Linked DNA regions of Caenorhabditis elegans. The protein of the gene in region 3 interacts with the protein of the main gene of each other region in a pairwise test. Each region holds a gene or a part of one and is shown on either strand. Other genes may lie near its edges.

What was found.
Region 1: the proteins of znf-782 (region 3) and ztf-31 interact in a two-hybrid assay, tested with the Caenorhabditis elegans proteins (one large-scale study listed by BioGRID).
Region 2: the proteins of znf-782 (region 3) and C15H9.2 interact in a two-hybrid assay, tested with the Caenorhabditis elegans proteins (one large-scale study listed by BioGRID).

The regions. Positions count from the first base shown.
Region 1 is NC_003281.10:7,239,574-7,244,466, forward strand, and holds ztf-31 (C2H2-type domain-containing protein), read left to right. Parts: upstream 1-1,791; 5' UTR 1,792-1,816; coding exon 1,817-1,854; intron 1,855-1,908; coding exon 1,909-2,100; intron 2,101-2,145; coding exon 2,146-2,353; intron 2,354-2,940; coding exon 2,941-3,063; intron 3,064-3,110; coding exon 3,111-3,200; intron 3,201-3,270; coding exon 3,271-3,327; 3' UTR 3,328-3,377; downstream 3,378-4,893. Other genes in the region: pars-1 (proline--tRNA ligase), read left to right, coding at 1-252, 371-942, 989-1,195, 1,240-1,528; osm-10 (Major sperm protein), read left to right, coding at 3,790-3,822, 3,929-4,364, 4,418-4,485.
Region 2 is NC_003284.9:6,116,794-6,122,053, reverse strand, and holds C15H9.2 (BTB domain-containing protein), read right to left. Parts: upstream 3,529-5,260; 5' UTR 3,279-3,528; coding exon 3,231-3,278; intron 3,180-3,230; coding exon 3,109-3,179; intron 2,517-3,108; coding exon 2,402-2,516; intron 2,354-2,401; coding exon 2,262-2,353; intron 2,219-2,261; coding exon 2,122-2,218; intron 2,079-2,121; coding exon 1,916-2,078; intron 1,874-1,915; coding exon 1,716-1,873; intron 1,672-1,715; coding exon 1,618-1,671; 3' UTR 1,517-1,617; downstream 1-1,516. Other genes in the region: C15H9.3 (7TM GPCR serpentine receptor class x (Srx) domain-containing protein), read right to left, coding at 4,003-4,144, 4,198-4,370, 4,467-4,565, 4,614-4,918.
Region 3 is NC_003282.8:1,063,740-1,070,586, forward strand, and holds the start of znf-782 (C2H2-type domain-containing protein), read right to left. Parts: upstream 3,787-6,847; 5' UTR 3,743-3,786; intron 1-3,742.

The sequences.
Region 1 (4,893 bases), on a different chromosome or scaffold from region 3:
ATTAAGAAATTAGGAGTGAAGAACTGCTACTTCCCAATGTTCGTATCAAATGCTGCCCTCGAACGCGAAAAGACTCATATTGCTGATTTTGCCCCAGAAGTTGCTTGGGTTACTCGTGCTGGAAACTCTGAAATGGCCGAACCAATCGCTATTCGCCCAACTTCAGAGACAGTTATGTACCCATCTTACAAGAAATGGGTTCAATCTCATCGCGATCTTCCAATCAAGTTGAACCAATGGTGCAATGTTGTTGTAAGTATTGATTTTTTAATTGAAATTAGTTAAAAATTTTTATAAATTTCTGTTGAATTTCTCCTAGCTGTCTTGCTCCACTGCAAAAATATTATCATAATACTTTTTTCCTTTACAGCGATGGGAGTTCAAGCATCCAACACCATTCCTTCGTACTCGTGAATTTCTCTGGCAAGAGGGACATACGGCTTTTGCCAACCCAGCAGACGCTGAAAAAGAGGTTTTCCAAATCCTTGATCTCTACGCAGGAGTCTACACTGATTTGCTCGCTATCCCAGTTGTGAAGGGACGAAAGAGTGAGAAGGAAAAGTTTGCTGGAGGAGATTTTACGACGACAGTCGAAGCATACGTGGCATGCAATGGTAGAGGAATCCAAGGAGCAACTTCTCACCATCTCGGACAAAATTTCTCCAAGATGTTTGATATTTCGTACGAGGATCCAGCGAAGGAAGGAGAACGAGCATTCGCTTGGCAAAATTCGTGGGGTCTTTCCACTCGTACCATTGGTGCAATGGTAATGATTCACGGAGATGACAAGGGATTAGTACTTCCACCAAGAGTTGCCGCTGTTCAAGTTATTGTTGTTCCAGTTGGATTCAAGACTGAGAACAAGCAATCGCTTTTCGATGCTGTTGATAAGGTTACCAAGGATTTGGTCGCGGATGGAGTAAAGGCTGAGCACGATTTGAGGTTTGAAATTAATAATGAATGCAGTTATGTACGTTTTTAATTACAGAGAAAACTACAATGCTGGCTGGAAGTTCAATCATTGGGAATTGAAAGGAGTCCCAATCCGTTTTGAGGTCGGACCAAATGATTTGGCAAAGAACCAGGTAACCGCTGTAATCCGTCACAACGGAGAGAAGAAACAACTTTCCCTGGAAGGACTGTCTAAAACTGTCAAATCTCTTCTTGATGAAATTCATACTGCTATGTACAATAAGTTGGTTAAAATTTTTAAAAGTTGAAATAAATTCCATACTTCAGGGTACTCGCTCAACGTGACTCTCACCTGAAGAGCACCACGTGCATCGAAGAATTCAAGAAGCTTCTTGACGAGAAGTGCATTATACTGTCCCCATTCTGTGGTCGTCCAGACTGTGAAGAGGAAATCAAGAAGGCATCAACAAGAGAAGACGGAGAAGGCGCACAGATGGGAGCCAAGACGTTATGTATTCCATTGGATCAACCAAAACAAGAACTTCCATCAAAATGTCTTTTCCCATCATGCACATACAATGCCAAGGCTTTCGCTCTGTTTGGAAGAAGTTATTAATTTTCACGTCTACGTCCCTAATAACTAAATATTCAGAAGCATAGTATTTATTCGTTGTCCTCTGTTTTTGCTATTTATTTTTTTTGGTGATTGTTTCATTTGTCTTCATACATCCTACTATTGCTCGTTTTTTTCATTTGTTCTGAATATCATTAAAAATAAAAATTAAAAATAAAATTAACAGAAAAAAAAGAACGTGGTGCCCTACATTGCGTGGTGGTATGTGGCAATGGGGTCAGGGGTGGGGAATGATGGAAAGAACATTTACACTTTTAGTTTTTTATATTAATGTCGTCATCCAGTGAATCCGATTCCGAAGGAGAACGGTAACATCATTTAACTTTAGATTTCCAGATATTTTCAGCGGTCTTAAATTTCAGAAAACTTCCTTTGTCGTATCGTAGAAAAAGACGACGTGATTCGAGTTCAACAACCAACTCCGAAGTATCCGATAATGATAGAAAAAAACGGCAAAACGAGAAGCGGAGAAGCCGTGAGTCATCCAAGATGAAGCATCAAAAAACGGCGAAACGGGACAAACCAATGTGGAAAGAGGAAGGAGAAATTTCATGGTGAGCACAGTTTTCATTGCATTAGAAGATTTCTTTCATTTTCAGTGACAGTGAGAGTGACGTCTGTAATTCCTCGAGTAGCAACAACCGGAGCCGCTGTCGTGATCGGCGAAGAAGAACTGATTACGGAAGAAGACGTCACAGAAATTCAGATTCTAGATCTCATGAGAGATGGAGTACTAGAAGAAGACAGACAACTCCAGAGGGAAATTTCAGATGTGATGAGTGTGGATGTAACCACTACACTTTGAAGGTAATTGACTATGGACACAAAAGTGCAAGCTTCTGACGTAATAGATGAAATAAGCATTATTGCATTGGTGACTCGGTTTGCAACAATATCACACAGTCGCAAAGTTTGCGATTTTCGCGCGAAGAATACGGTGCTCGGTCTCTATGCGACTGTTTTTGTTAAATTTTTTAAAAAGCGTGCGCCTTTGAAGAGTACTGTAATTTCAAAATTTTATTCTGCGGAATTTTCAGGAGTTTTTAAGAATAATTTTTCTCCAGATCTTTTGAGAGTTCTGGGGTTTATGGTTATATTTATTTTTTAAATATACTTCTATTGAAAAACTATCGTTTTAAATTCCGCAGAAACTAGATTTGGAAATTACAGTACTCTTTAAAGACGCGCGCCTTTTTGTATTGAGCAAAAATAAATGTCGTCTCGAGACCAGGAACCGTATTTTTGTGCAATAGTCGCAAAATTTCGCGTCTGTGTAATAGAAAGGTTTGAGTTTAATGGAATAACTCACTTTTGCTCAAAATTTCATATATTAAATTAGTAAACACCTCTGCAGCTTGACACCGACTGGCACACACAAAATATTAAACTTTCAGGGTCTAATCCATCACGAAATGAACGACCACAACCTCAATGCAAAATGTCATTTATGCCAGAAATCTTTCGAGAATAAGAAGACATTCCGTGAACACTGTGAATTGGATCACACACCGGAAGTGGTATGACAGTATTCATTAACAGATTCAATTTGAAATATTAATTTTAGGTTAGATGTGTATTCTGCAAAAGCTCATTCGATCAGCCACTGGAAATGAACGATGAACAATGGGCACACTTTTTCGCTCATATTTATGGGGTTAGTAATTCACCATTCGAATCTAGAAGTCGATTCTCCTGACTGACATTTTTAAAACCATTTTTTCCAGGAAATCCTCTACTCCCGCCTTGCCGACTACGAGGATCGTGCTTTGAACACTGCATGAATTATATATTTGATTCGATGGTTAGCTTAATAAAGAATTTTTCTGTTGTACTTCAACCTTTTTCTGAAATAGGAAATAATCACAAGTTGTCTGAAAAATGTGATCAGCTATCCAGATCAAACAGTGAAAATGTTGTCTGCAATGATTCATAGCTGAACATCTGAACTCTTAAATTTTCAGCGAATCATGATTTGCATTGTGATATATTATTCTTATGGTTGCAAAAGAAAAAAGATTACGAAAATATCTTGTGACAGAGTAAGAAACCATTGAAATTTAATTAATCACCGTGGAGACAGGTGTGCACTCTGCTCTTATTATATTATCAAAACGAGAAACGCGTGAGCAAGAAGTGGGCGTGACTTGGTAGAAAGGTACTTAATCGAGATGTTGAGCCAACTTTCGAGATTATTCTAAAAGTTTCCATATCAATAAACTTTTTTGGAAATTTCATCTTGCAAGATGTCGAAGGCAACGTCCGCGTGTTCTCAAAAGGTGAGATTTCTGAAATAATACTTAGGATTAAACTTGAAATTTTATCCACATAACTTTATCTAGGAAAAAACTTTTTCGATTTATGTTAGAACCTAATAAATTTCAGAAGACCTCTCTCCTGGATCCGAGTCCAAAAAAGTCATCTGTAATTGAAACAACAACCAAAAAAACTTCTGGGATTGAGTCCAAACTATTGCCAAATGAGCTTCCATCAACTGGAACAACTGGAACTAGCGGTGTTAAGAATGGGGCTTCAAGTCCAAAAACTAGCCCAGCAAAAACCACTACTACCACAACTACCGTAGTCACTCAAAAAGTTTCAAATCAACCAACTGCACCCATTTCAACACTTCCACCTCGTAAGCCAACAGCCCAAAAAAGTCGCGAATTGTCCCCTCCAAAAGCGAAGAAATCTCCGAGTCCAAGTCGTACTGGTTCAGGTGACTCTGGTTCAAGAAAGGAAAGCAGTGCATCCAGAAAAGATTCTTCGAAAACCGAAAAATTGGTCAAAGATTTGGAAAATGTCAAATTGGAGAAAGGAGGTAACAAACTCAGGCAACAATGGGCAAACTGAATACACTTAATTATATTTCAGATTCCCGTGAATCGGCTACTCTTCCAACTCCGAAGCAGTATCCAGCTTCGGACGATGAGGAAGACACGGTTAGTGGTTAAACCAAAACCTAGCTAGAGCTCATATTACTCCTCTTGAGTTCTGAAACTCGTGGCAACCTCTCTTTCAAAATTGTGATGGGAACACTCTGAACACACAAAATTATTCCATTCTTGTTTGTACATAGGAAAATGTGGCAACTTTATATTTCGGGTGTGTGAGGTCAAAATGACTTTTAGTGCATTTTTATTGCTGAAAAACATCCATGACAGCATATAAGTATACTTCCTGAATAGTGGATAGCCACACTTTTTAGCAATCAGTATTTACGAGTTTATTATTCACTCAGTCTTACTCAGAAGTCTCAGAAGTCTGAGAAGTCAGAAGTCTAACCACACTTAAATTTCCTCATCAAGTAAATTCTCTACGGTTGTGACAAGGTCTACTTAGAAAAATAA
Region 2 (5,260 bases), on a different chromosome or scaffold from region 3:
GAGGAAAAAATGTAGTGCGCGACGAGGCACCATCACGTGGTCAGTGTGGAACGCATAAACAAACTCTTCCACTGACAAATGCGTAGTCTATTTCGACTCACAGAAAAAGTCGGAAAAATTCAGGAAACCGTTTGCATAAAATGTATTCATTAGGCTACGATTATGGATAGAACAGTATTGCCATGAACAGCCGTACTTTGGTCAAGATAACAACATAAACATCAAGATAACGTGACATAGTTTATTGGTCATTGGAACTGGATAACAGAGCGGTTTTGAAGAAAATGTAGAAAAATTATATCATAATACAACTGTTTTTAAAAAAAGCTGACCTAACGATATATTATAAAAACACCTGAGTCACATAAAGGTGTTTTTTCTTCTTCTTGCAAACATCTATTTAGGGTTTAGGATAACAAGAAAACAATAAGAGATGAATGCATTGTTGTGGTTTGATTTTTAGATTGACCGGAAAAAATGTGACAGCAAAAATTCTCAATTCAGAAAATGTGATGTCAAAAATGATTAACTTTGCCATATTGGTTCTCAAATAGTAAACAATTTTTATCAGAAGTGTTTGCGAACAAACAAGTGTGATTTTTTACCTTTTCTATGATAACCAATACAAATTATTTACTCAAAAATTGGTTGACACGATGTGCTGCTACTTAGAGTTTGATCAGTTTTTTTTTGCGTTGCTTTGTTAATAAATCGTAATGAAAATGAATCAGACTATTATTTTAATGTTTGTTACTTGAATGCAGTTTTTTCAACTAGTTTGTGTATTTATTAGTGTTGCACACTTTCACATGATGCCATACAGGTATTTTTGCGAAGATTTTTTATAGTATCTTTTTGGTGAAATGAATTTAAACGTTTTCAATGTGCCACCTATGAAATTATCAAAAAGCATCGGCCTCTTAGTTTTTGAGTATTTTCAAAATTATTCTGTTCAGTTTAACTCAATACTAGAAAAGTTATCGAACAATAGCACCGACAATATTTAATTTTTTTTTTCTGAAGTGTTTGTAACCTCGATTCCCATGGAAACAGTTGAGTTATAAAAATCGTCTTCCTATTATTTGTATTGTTCGAAACTATTCATGTTTTCCGAGAACCACGAAAAAAATGCTCTGAAATTTTCAACAAGCTTATGACTGAAACGATAAGGCGTAATGCAACAAAATTTATTTGCAAGGACCAGAACGCGGAAAAATTCCAAAGTAGTCTTTGTTATTTTGAATATTATTTTGAAAACGGTCGAGAAAAACCTCCAGATTATTCGCGTTTGGACGCGGCACTTGAAAATTATATTAACTTTTAAACTTGACGAAAAATTGATATTTTTCAATCAGAAAGAGTACAATCGCATTTTTCTCCGATAGAAAACTATTTAACATTTTTATTACAAAATCCTTCAAACCACTTTTTCAAAACGCAATAAATTCAAAAACCTAAATCCGTCTTTTGAAATTATTGTTTAAAAAAATGATAATAAATACTTTTCACCAAGCTAAAAGTTCTGCAATCATTTATTAACTATAATAACATCTCAAATGTTTATAAAATACAAGATCACAATCAATGAGGGGAGTATCTGTTGTTGTTAAAAAATTTCTAAGTGAGACTTAGAAGATCTACCAAATAAGGTTCATGTCGTAAAAGTTTATTCTGAAAATAAACGAGTTATAATCAATACGAATCTTATGTTTTACCTTCAAAGTGTTCAAATTATATCGGATAGCCCATTCCATTTTCTGAGTTGATCGGATATTGTAACAGGTATCATTACACAAATTATATTCACAGAACATTGTAACGTTTTTGCAATCAAAAAAGTGGCTTAATTCCAGTAGCTCTACAATATTCCCGCCTGAAAATGATTTCAATTAGCTGTCTGGAAATGAAAACTGACGTGTTATTCTGAACACAGAGGGATATCCATATATACAATTTAGAAGGTTTCTAAAAGAACAAGACGATATTCCTTTCAGTTCGATTGGTTTTGTTAGGTCGGAGGATTCAATGAAAGACCCATTGAATAACACTTTAAAATATTGAGAAGCCATGCTCAGAACCTGAAAAGTAAACATGAGCTTATGACAATCCAACGATTCATACAAAAGTATGTACGTGAAATTCCTCATCTTCAACTTTTAGCACAACATTTGAACTGTCAAACGGCTGGCTGAAGTCCAATCCGGAAAATTGACTTTCGCTGAAAAATGTTCCTAATTATTAAGAGTGCATGATGCACTCACTGAATCGTTTGGTCAATTTCCAGTTGCACGTGGCGACCGCCTGGCAGCCACTCATGAACAACTGACTCTCCGCTGCGCTCGAATTGTGAGGTCTGCAATGTATTGCGTTTTTTGTAGCGTTCTAATGTTTCAAGCATTACAAAAGTGGAACTAGACTTGAAATCGGTGCAATGAATAATCAGGTCAATTGAGCAAAATTCTGCCATCTCTGATATGAGCGTGAATATAATTTGTTGACAATCAAATACAATTTGCCTGAAATTTCGGAAACTTTTTGATATGATTATGGTAAAAATAAAAACATTGTTCAAACAATATGCTTTAAAAAATTATAAAATAATGAAACAGGAAGTCGATAGAATTTGTAGAGTATACATGAGCTTCAAAGTTTTTTGAAGCTTGAGTTTTGACGACCATCTGGTTAGGTGTATTTTTTTTACAGTATATATAAATTTGTACTTGCTAATACAGAAAATGCTGCTTGAGCTGTGTATTTCTAAAGTTATAAAATGAGCAAGTTTGTGTGCAAAATTTGAACTCCGGCATTTAACATTTGATCATTTTCAGTCATGTTGCTTATTTTAAAATGGTTTATTCTTGCAAATAATTAATTATTCCTGTTATTTTTTAAAAAACTATTAGTTTAAACACACTTAGGCTTTCAGTAATTCTTCCAGATTTACAATGTCAGGTTTTCATTATTTGACCATTTGAAATTAGCAATTAAAAATTCATATGTATTAATTATAACCCACTTCTAGATTTGAATGATCTAAAATTTTCCTTTCTATTTGAGATTTTCTCGAGCCCTGTTTCTATTTTCTTAACTTTTTAAAACTGAACTCACCACTTGAACCCGTCCACGTCAAAACTCGTTTTTTCCAGTGCAGCGTTGACGTGATAGTAGCGGTTTTGCAGCTGCCAAAATTTGTTTTTAAATTTCAATTTCTAAGAAAAAACATGGCTTACATCAATTATTGTGGTTGCATCAGAAGTGCTATTAGTGTTGATCAGCATGTCTAGGGGGTCTTGCCAAGAGAGTGAGGATATTTTCTTCAGGGTGAGGAGTGAAAATGAAGAAATGATAAAAAGGTATTTTCCTCTTTTTCCTCCAGGTGCACTTTTAATCGGTTCAAAACTTCAAACTAGTGATAACGCCGTACATGTGCTCGTTTTTCACGTTTTTACAATTTTCAGTTAGTTCCAAATCATGTCACTGATAATACGATTTTTGTTTGAGCCTGTTGAGGTTTCGAGGTGTTATGCTGGAAAAAATAAGAAAATTATATTTCTTTGATAACAATGTGCGTCGAAGTTAATGAAAGGAGGCTCTACTATACGATTTGCCAAAGTTGCGTTATTTTTGGAAACGACGGCAACACCAGACTGCAAAAAAAAGAAGGGACAAAAAGGAGAGAAATTCTCATGAGCACACAGGCAGGCGTCTCTCGTCTTGCACTTGTAATGCAGAATATAGCAATCATATTCTCACGGCTTTTAGTACACACACTAGTTTTTGGTTTCTGAAACAGCTCGCTGAAAATCAAGAGGGTGTGAGAGAAAAACAACATCAACGGAAAAGAGGATGACAACACCGTGTGACAAGGGAAAAAAATAGAGATTTTCAGCTTCATTTAGTAAAGTATACTTTTGGATGAGATTGAAATGAGCGTAGAAAAAGAGATATTGAATTGAATAAAAAATAAATTAGCAATTATTATAATAAATTGAGATTCAAAGTTTAAAATTTCTTTCGGCAAAGAATCAGGTTGACAATTGCGTTACGAAGTGCACTTCCGGAGACCATGTAGGCAAGGCATTTACTTCCACGGAAAATTGGTGCAATGAATAGTAGGAACAGACAAAGGTTGTTGTCTTCGTATCTGAAAAAAAACAGTGATAAGAAAAGGGAACGGAAATAACAATGATGACTTACAGTGTACAAATATTGTAGATGAGCGTCTGAACAAGAAGAAACATTGATACGATGATGAAGTTTATAGAGACTTTGAGTTCGGTTGAGACCCGTGAAGTCTTCCGGGGAGCCATCATGTTTCCGCTATTCACCACCGACACCTGCATCTTTTGCATCATTTCTGCTGGTGCGACCTAACAAATTTGGTCTATGGCACAATTTTGACAAAAAGGGTATAAAAGATTTTGAATAGAAAAACTAATTTTGATAGTATAAGTTTTGTTACTTACGGTGGCGCTTTTCTCATTTGAAAAGACCGATTCCTTGATTGTGCTGAGTTTGTAAACAATAAGAATATCAGTGAGACCCAAGCAAAAGAAAACAATTCCCTGAACCGGAAATATATAGTTTTTGTCAATTCTCCCCGTTTTTAATACCTGTACAACATAGTTAAGATAAAAGAAAAAGTTAACCAGAGGTTTGTTTCGTTCTTCCGTCCAACCCCAAAACTCGGGATGGAAAATAATTGGAAACTCTGGAGACCATAAGTAGCACACAGACAGCATGGATAAAAAGACGATTCCGATGATAGCAAAAATTGTCTTTTTCTGAGTAAAGCGCGCATAGTACAGAGTTCCATAAACTGCGAGGATGTGGGAGCCAGCGATTGCAATCAACGAGTAGAGTTGGATGAACCAGCAGGAGTACGTTGTGAAATGAAAGAGCTTGGTTGGAAAGTCATCTGAAAATTTGAATTGGCATTTTGAACTTCACAACTTTTACTTGACTTTCTTTCAGCAAAATGGTTTATTATTTTTTCCTAGTTGTTCATAAATAAGTAAAGATATATTTTTCTGAAAGATATTTGGAAAAACTATATGCCTTTTTTTATTAACATAGATGTCGAACTTTCAGATCTTTTTCAATAAAATTTAGAAGCATTTAAAATGTTTTTCTATTCTTAAACTACTATGAAATTTGCAAAACCAGCTGTTGAAAAAATCTTACCGATTTTGGAAGTAGTCAAAAACATTCAAAATTGAAATTTCAGGGGCTGAAGTTTATCTTTAGTTTATTTAACATT
Region 3 (6,847 bases):
AAGAAATTTTCAACAGCAAAGTTGGAGTAAAGAAGATGAGAAGTATTTTGTCAGTGGAAAAAGGTTTGATAAGATTAAAGGCAACTGAGATATGATGCAAAATAAAAGAGAAAAAAGTTGGCAGTAAAAAAGTGGAAGACATGGTGCATCGACCATAGCCTTGATATCTCATATCTCGGCTATGTTTCGTGTTATCAAAAAGTTATCAATTAACAAAATATTTATCAAGTATAGTGTCTTAAGTTCCGTAGTTGAACACTTCTTGATATTTTTAATGTGAACCAAGATATCGGTTGTCAAAAAAACGGGAGACATGGTGAATCGTCGGTATGCTTGACAACTTATATCTCGGCTACCTTTGGTTTTATAAAAAAGTTGTCAACTAACAAAATGTGTATTATATTCTTGGCTATGATTTGATACTTAGAAATTTAAAGATATCTACAATCTGGGCTAAGATATGAGAAGTCAAAGTTGGAAGGAAGACATGGTGCATCGACATGAATGAACAAGACGTATAGAGGAGTCACGGACTATAGCATTACAGTAAGATTATTGAACACCTATGCATTTCAAACTTCAGGGAAGCAACTAGGTAGTTCCAGAGCACAATGACCTAGGCGTCCGCCCCAGTGGTCAGCTGCAGCAGCGGTGCCAGTCTCTGTGATGATGCTCTCTGTTTTTGTTGACAACTCTGTGTCAGCTGATCTAGAAACTGAACTCCTCGAAGGGTGTTGTGTGTTGTGTGTTTCTCTTTTTCCCGGGCGGCGGCCGACGCGGTAGGCAGTGCCATGATGTTCCGACGTTCGAGGTGGCAGCAGCACAACAACACACAGCGGAGAAGAAGCATGCGAACAAAAAAAACGTCTGGTTTCTCTGATGCCCTAGCCCTCACCCACCCCACCCCGACTACTGGTACCAGGCGCCTCCTCGCCGCTCTTCAAGACCACCCCGTCGACGACGCTGCGCCAAAACAAACACGGCGACTGGCACGCTTCTTCTCAACTGCGTCTTCTTCTTATCCGCGCGGAACACACACAACACACACACACGGCATATAATAATTGTTTTGGCTCCGGCGTTCGGTGGGCTCCGCGCGGAGCAAAAGGAGCAAAAGAACGCACGTAGGAATTCGTCATTTATGTTTTGGTGACTAGGGACTAGTAGTCTTGAAAGAGTAGGATATTAGTATGAGGAGAGGTGAAAGAATCCAAGGGTCCAAAAAGATTTTTAGCATTTAAGGAGTCTAAACTTTTCCGAACACCTCGTGAAATTTTGCACCTGGCAGCAATTTTTGCACCTGGAGGGGTTCAGTTACTACATGAAAACTTTGAGGTTTTAGAGGGGTATTGTAGGATTACTGTAGTATTAATGTAGGGCTACTGTAGAAATACAAAAAAATTACGGTAGGGCTACTGTAGTATTACTGTAGGGCTACTGTAGAATTACAGAAAAATTACGATAGGGGTACGATCACTGTAACAGTTGATGCACCATGTTTTGCCGATTAACTTTGACAGCTTATATCTCGATTACTTTTACTGATATCAAAAAATGTTTAAAAATAGAACTATAGAGAAAGATATAAGAAATGTTTTGTCTGTTGCCAATTTTTGAACCAAAAACAACCAAGATTTGAACCAATGAAGTTGTGCTTGGCATTTTACTTTGAATGATCATATCTTGGTTTTTTAAAGAGATATCAAAAATTGTTAAACTACATTATTATAGAAAAGGTTATAATAAACATTTTGTCACTAGACAATGTTTTGATAACACCAAACACAACTGAAATACAAGACGTCAAAAAGCTGACGAAGGATTTTCAGTCGATGCACCATGTTTTTTTAAATTTCACAAAGTTTCCTATTTCCCATTCAAAATCACTAACCTTTTATTTTCAAATACTCAAATACGTAACCTTTTACCTTATCACATACCCTGGTCACCCCAACTCGTGGTATCAGGTTACCCCCTCGTAACCCATTCCGCGTGACCGCATGCCTGCCGGCGCGGCGGCAAGCGGCCTGGCACGGAGCTATGGGTGCCTGCCGGTGACATGATGATGCCCGTCCAACCATAGATAATAATAGGTAGACACCACATACAAACATATGTGTGTGTGTGCGTTCTTTTTTTGTTGGAAAAATGAGAGAGAAACTTTGACCACATACAAACATTTATGGCTATATCTAGTTGGATTTCAAAAACCATGTGTTTGACCTACATGTAGTACGGATTAACGGGATTGGTGGAAAATGTGGATAGGACCTTTGAAAACTGGGTTGATAGTGATTTCAGATCATGGTGCATGGACTAGATTTTAGGCAGGCGCGGGGCCTGAAGCCTGCCTGAAACCTGCCTGCTTTTTCCCCTTTTATGCATTTTAGGTGTATTTACACTGATGATTTTCAAATTAAAAAAAAAAGAAAAAAAAAACACGTATGATTTAGCATAAGTATTGAGGCAGGCGGAGATCGCCTGAAGGCCAGGCAGGTAGGCGTTTTATCGCCTACATAGGAGCCCTACACTTCAAAGTTGAGTCATATGAAATCAATGTAGAAAAAATTATGAAAAACAGCTTAACTAAACGTAACCGAAATATGGCCTCGATGCACCATGTTCAGAACTTTTCTTCGACAGACTCTATCTAAGAAGTGTTAATTTAAAAAAAAAAATTCCGATAAAACCAAAACCAGCCAAAATATGTAAGGAATTATGAAGAATGAAACAATTATTAAAAAGTTCCGAGAGGAGGAGTCCCAAGATAAAACAATAGCCTCACTCTCTCTCTCCCATATAACAACAAATGAAAACAACCTCCCAAAAAAAAACCAAACACAGAAGTAGACAATTGAAAGAGTGACGGGATGGTGAGAAACCAGTTCAAATGACCAGGTCATTGTTTCAGAGAAAACTGGTCACTTTTGTCGAGTTTTTTTTTGGGCAAACTATGTTAGGCAAGCCAATATCTCGGCTTTTTATGCTATTTGTAATTTTTTCCACGGGTTAATGTAGAAAAAGAGGTGAGCAATATTTTGTCAGTTGATAATTATTTTATAAACCCAGAGACAATTTAGATATAGAGCTGGTAAAGTTAAGTTTGCAAAACTTATCGATGCACCATGTTTTTATTTTGGTTTATTTTAGCGATATTAGTTACATATCAACTACAAATGTATAGAATAATGAATAAAACATTTATTACCAATAGACAACTTACTGGATAAACAGGGCGCGATTGGTGGGATAGCGGAGCGTCGTTTGAAAGTTTGAAAAATTGCAAGTTCTCTTTTTTTTTTGTGCAAAAAAGCTGGTAATAATGCACAAAAAAGTCATGTAAAATTTCAAATTCCCACCAAAAATTATTGGATAAACAGAGCGCGCTAGGGGATAGCGGAGTGTCGTTAGAAACTAGTAAATTTCAAAACTTGAAGGCTTCTAGTGGTGAAATCGATTTTGTTTTGGTGGTCGGTGGTGCAAAGCTGATAAATTTTAAATTCATAATTTAATCTGTGATTAGAGGGAGTTGGCCCGAAATTTGGAACTTTTTCTTTAAAAAAAAACTTCAAGTTAAATTGGCTAAACATCAAGCACTAGAGGGATAACGGAGTGTCGTTTGAAATTCAATGTTGCACTTGAAAACTGATAAAAAAGGGCCCAAACCCAACCCTAGATGGGTCCAAGCCTAGACAGGTCCCAGAAATTTCTAGAGAGCTCCAGATAGGCCAAACTCACTCACGTTTTTTCGTCTTTTTCTCGAAGAGTCCTCGCGCGCGGCGGAGTGCGGAAGCGGCATGATGCGACGCGACGAGCACTGCGGAAAAATGCCTGCGTCTCTTCGTCTCGCACGCTCTATCGGCTCGTTCCGCGCGCCCCTCCTGGTGTCGACTGGCACGTCGGGGCGCCCCCCCGCTGGCCACTTAGAGACGCAGAGTGTGGGAAAAAGAATGACCAGTGGTTGAAAAAATGACATTCAAAAAAGAAGAAGAAGAAGAAGGAAGGAGCAACAAACCACCAAACAACACAAAATTGATAAGGGTATGGGAAATCGCACAATTTTTGAGAATTCTCTCAAATAGGTCTAGGAGGTCTAAAAACTGAAATTCTGAATTGAGAAATCTATATTTAGGTCAAAAAGGTCTAAGTGTTAGGATCCTGAGCTATATTTCAGCCTAACGGAGTCTAAAATGCCAAAAATCATAGACTGGGTCTTTTTTGCAACCTAATTTTGGCATGTTTATACTTTTTATAGGTAGGGAGCCAAATTACGGACTAAAAGGTGATCGGTCTAGGGACTGGAATTTTGGTCTGAACGTTTGATTTGGGCTGTAAAGGCATTGATATTGGCCAGTCTTGGCCAGGCCATAACTTTTCCCGAAAGGGTTACAAACAGGGTTCTAGAGACTCTAGTTTTGGCCCAAAAAGGAGTTATGAAGCAAAAAGGGCCACAATACCCCAAAAATAACCTAAATGGTCCAAGTGTTGAGTTACGTTTCCTACCTGTTTAGTCTGGCAAAAAAAGCCTAGAAACCCTAATTCTGATCTAGGACCAAAATTTTATCATAAAGAGTATCAAAAAAGGCATAGGGACTTGAATTTCGGTCTGAAAGTTTGATTTGGTCTATGAAAGCCCTAATCTTGCAGGTCATACTTAGGCTGGAAGGCTTACAAACAGGGCTCTAAGTACTTTATTTTTAGCCACGCTAATCCTGATCTAGGACCCTTATTTTATCTCAAAGAGTTTCAAAAAGAGGCCCTTGAATATTGGCCGATCTGGTCTCAATGGGAACTTAAGAACCATGGGTCTTTCGTCTGGCAGAATAGGCTTAATTTGGGCCTAGGACCCGGATTTTATCTCATAGGGTTTCAATAAGTAAGCCCAAGCCTAAGCTTCAGCCTAAGCTCAAGCCTGAGCTCAAACCTCAGCCTAAGCTTAGACCCCAAGTTTGGCCAAAGGATCCTTGAAGAAGGACCAATATTTATTCGAATTTTTACCAAATATAAAGTACCATACTAAAAAACTTTTTTCATATCTTTCTGTATTTGTATGTTCTCTACTTTTTTCTTCTGTCTTCTTTACAAAACCTCCCCCCCCCCCCCCCATCTATCCATGATTCACATGCTGCCACACCTCCCCCACACTATTTCACTCTTTTTTCCTGCTGCTGCTGCTGCTGCAAGCATCGAGAAATACACACACAAATACACGGTGCTGGGTCACCACCTGGAGCCACCCATGGCTCTTTTCATATGTTTTTGCCTGGAAAATGACGACGACGCGGCAGCGGCAGCGGCAGAGACGCGGAGAACAAGCAGGGAGCGGAAGGAGTACGGGACCAGCGGGGCTAAGGGGGGCCTGGGAACCGGGGAGCCAAAAGTGGTCTGGGATCGTGCAAGGAACCAGGGAACCGAGTAAGCAAGGGAAACGGGGGTGCAAAAGCATTGCTTCATTCAGTTCCAAACTTGAGAAATTCAAAAAAAAAACAAAGCCCACGGGCATAGGAATTCTAAGGTGATAAGCACCGAGGCATCAAAAACGCTAGTTCGATTTTCATACACTTGAGCATTAGAAAAATCTTGTGTAGGCCTTCTAAGTCCAAAAGCCCAAAAACCGGTCGAAAAGGTCAGGTTTTTTTCAGAATTATTGAATTTTCTGGGGATTTCTTTTTGCTCTCTTTTTGTCCCCTGCTCAGCCTAAGCCTAAGCCTAAGCCTAAGCCTAATCCTTAGACTAAGCCTAAGCCTGAGCCTAAGCCTAGACCTGAGGCCAACCTTTGGCTCTCTGCAATTCTGACACCTCAAGGTACTTTTCCAGTCGACCAACTAGTACTACTACGACTAATACTAGAAACTTCTGTTGTTGTTGTCGTTCCGCGTCGCACCGCGCTGGCACCGACCGGCACACTGGCTCCGCCTGCCTAGCAGAGACTAGGCTGGCAGAAAAATGAGGAAAAAAACTAGGAGCGGGGGGGGGGGGGGGGGGTAGGGGTTGCTTGGGACCTTGGAGTTGAAAATTCTTGAAGTCAAGGGGTCTTGAGCTTCACGGGCCTACTGGACCTCCTTGGGCTTAGGGCCTACTGGTCTTTGGACTAGAAAACTCAAGGACTTTGAGTAAGAAACAACTGAGCTAGAAGATGAACAACAGGTGTAAGCCAGGGTAATACAGAACCTACATATAGTACAGGGAGTCTACATTTTGGTCTACATACATTCGGGCTAAAAGTTTTTATTTAGTCCAAACGGATCAAGCTTAGACTTTAGCTTCAGATTTGAAAGGTCGAACTGTAGGTATGAGCGATGCAACTTCCTGTTTAGGCGTATCAAGCTGTTTTATTTATCTAGCGAAGAACGGGAGAGCCTGAAGGCATCTAGATTACCAATTACACCCTATCAGAAACAAAACCGACAAAATTTCGAAATTTGGGTAATAAGCTCGGTTTTGATGTCGTAAGCTTTGATCGGGTGGCTGAATGAAAGGCTTTTGAGATTCTTCAAGGGATCTAGGTGGTTATGGAAGGATCTAAAGACACTAGACTTTAAGGCTTAGAGCTTTAAATGGCTTGGCTAGGTCCTATGCACCCTTAACCTATCAGAAACAAAACCGACATATAACATCAAAAAATTATCGCCACATAAAAAAAAATTGCATGCAAACAAAAAAATGTTTTCCTCTTTTTTTTTCTATCTCTTCCCTTTTTCTCGTTTCATCATTCCCCCATACTCTCCCTGAAAGTGGTACCGACAGATACGGAGCCCCCCGTCCTCCCCTGACCAGTCGCCTGGTCAGCTTAACCAGCATGAGACGCAGAGAGTCGCAGCGCCCCGGCGAGAGGAGCGGCGTCACT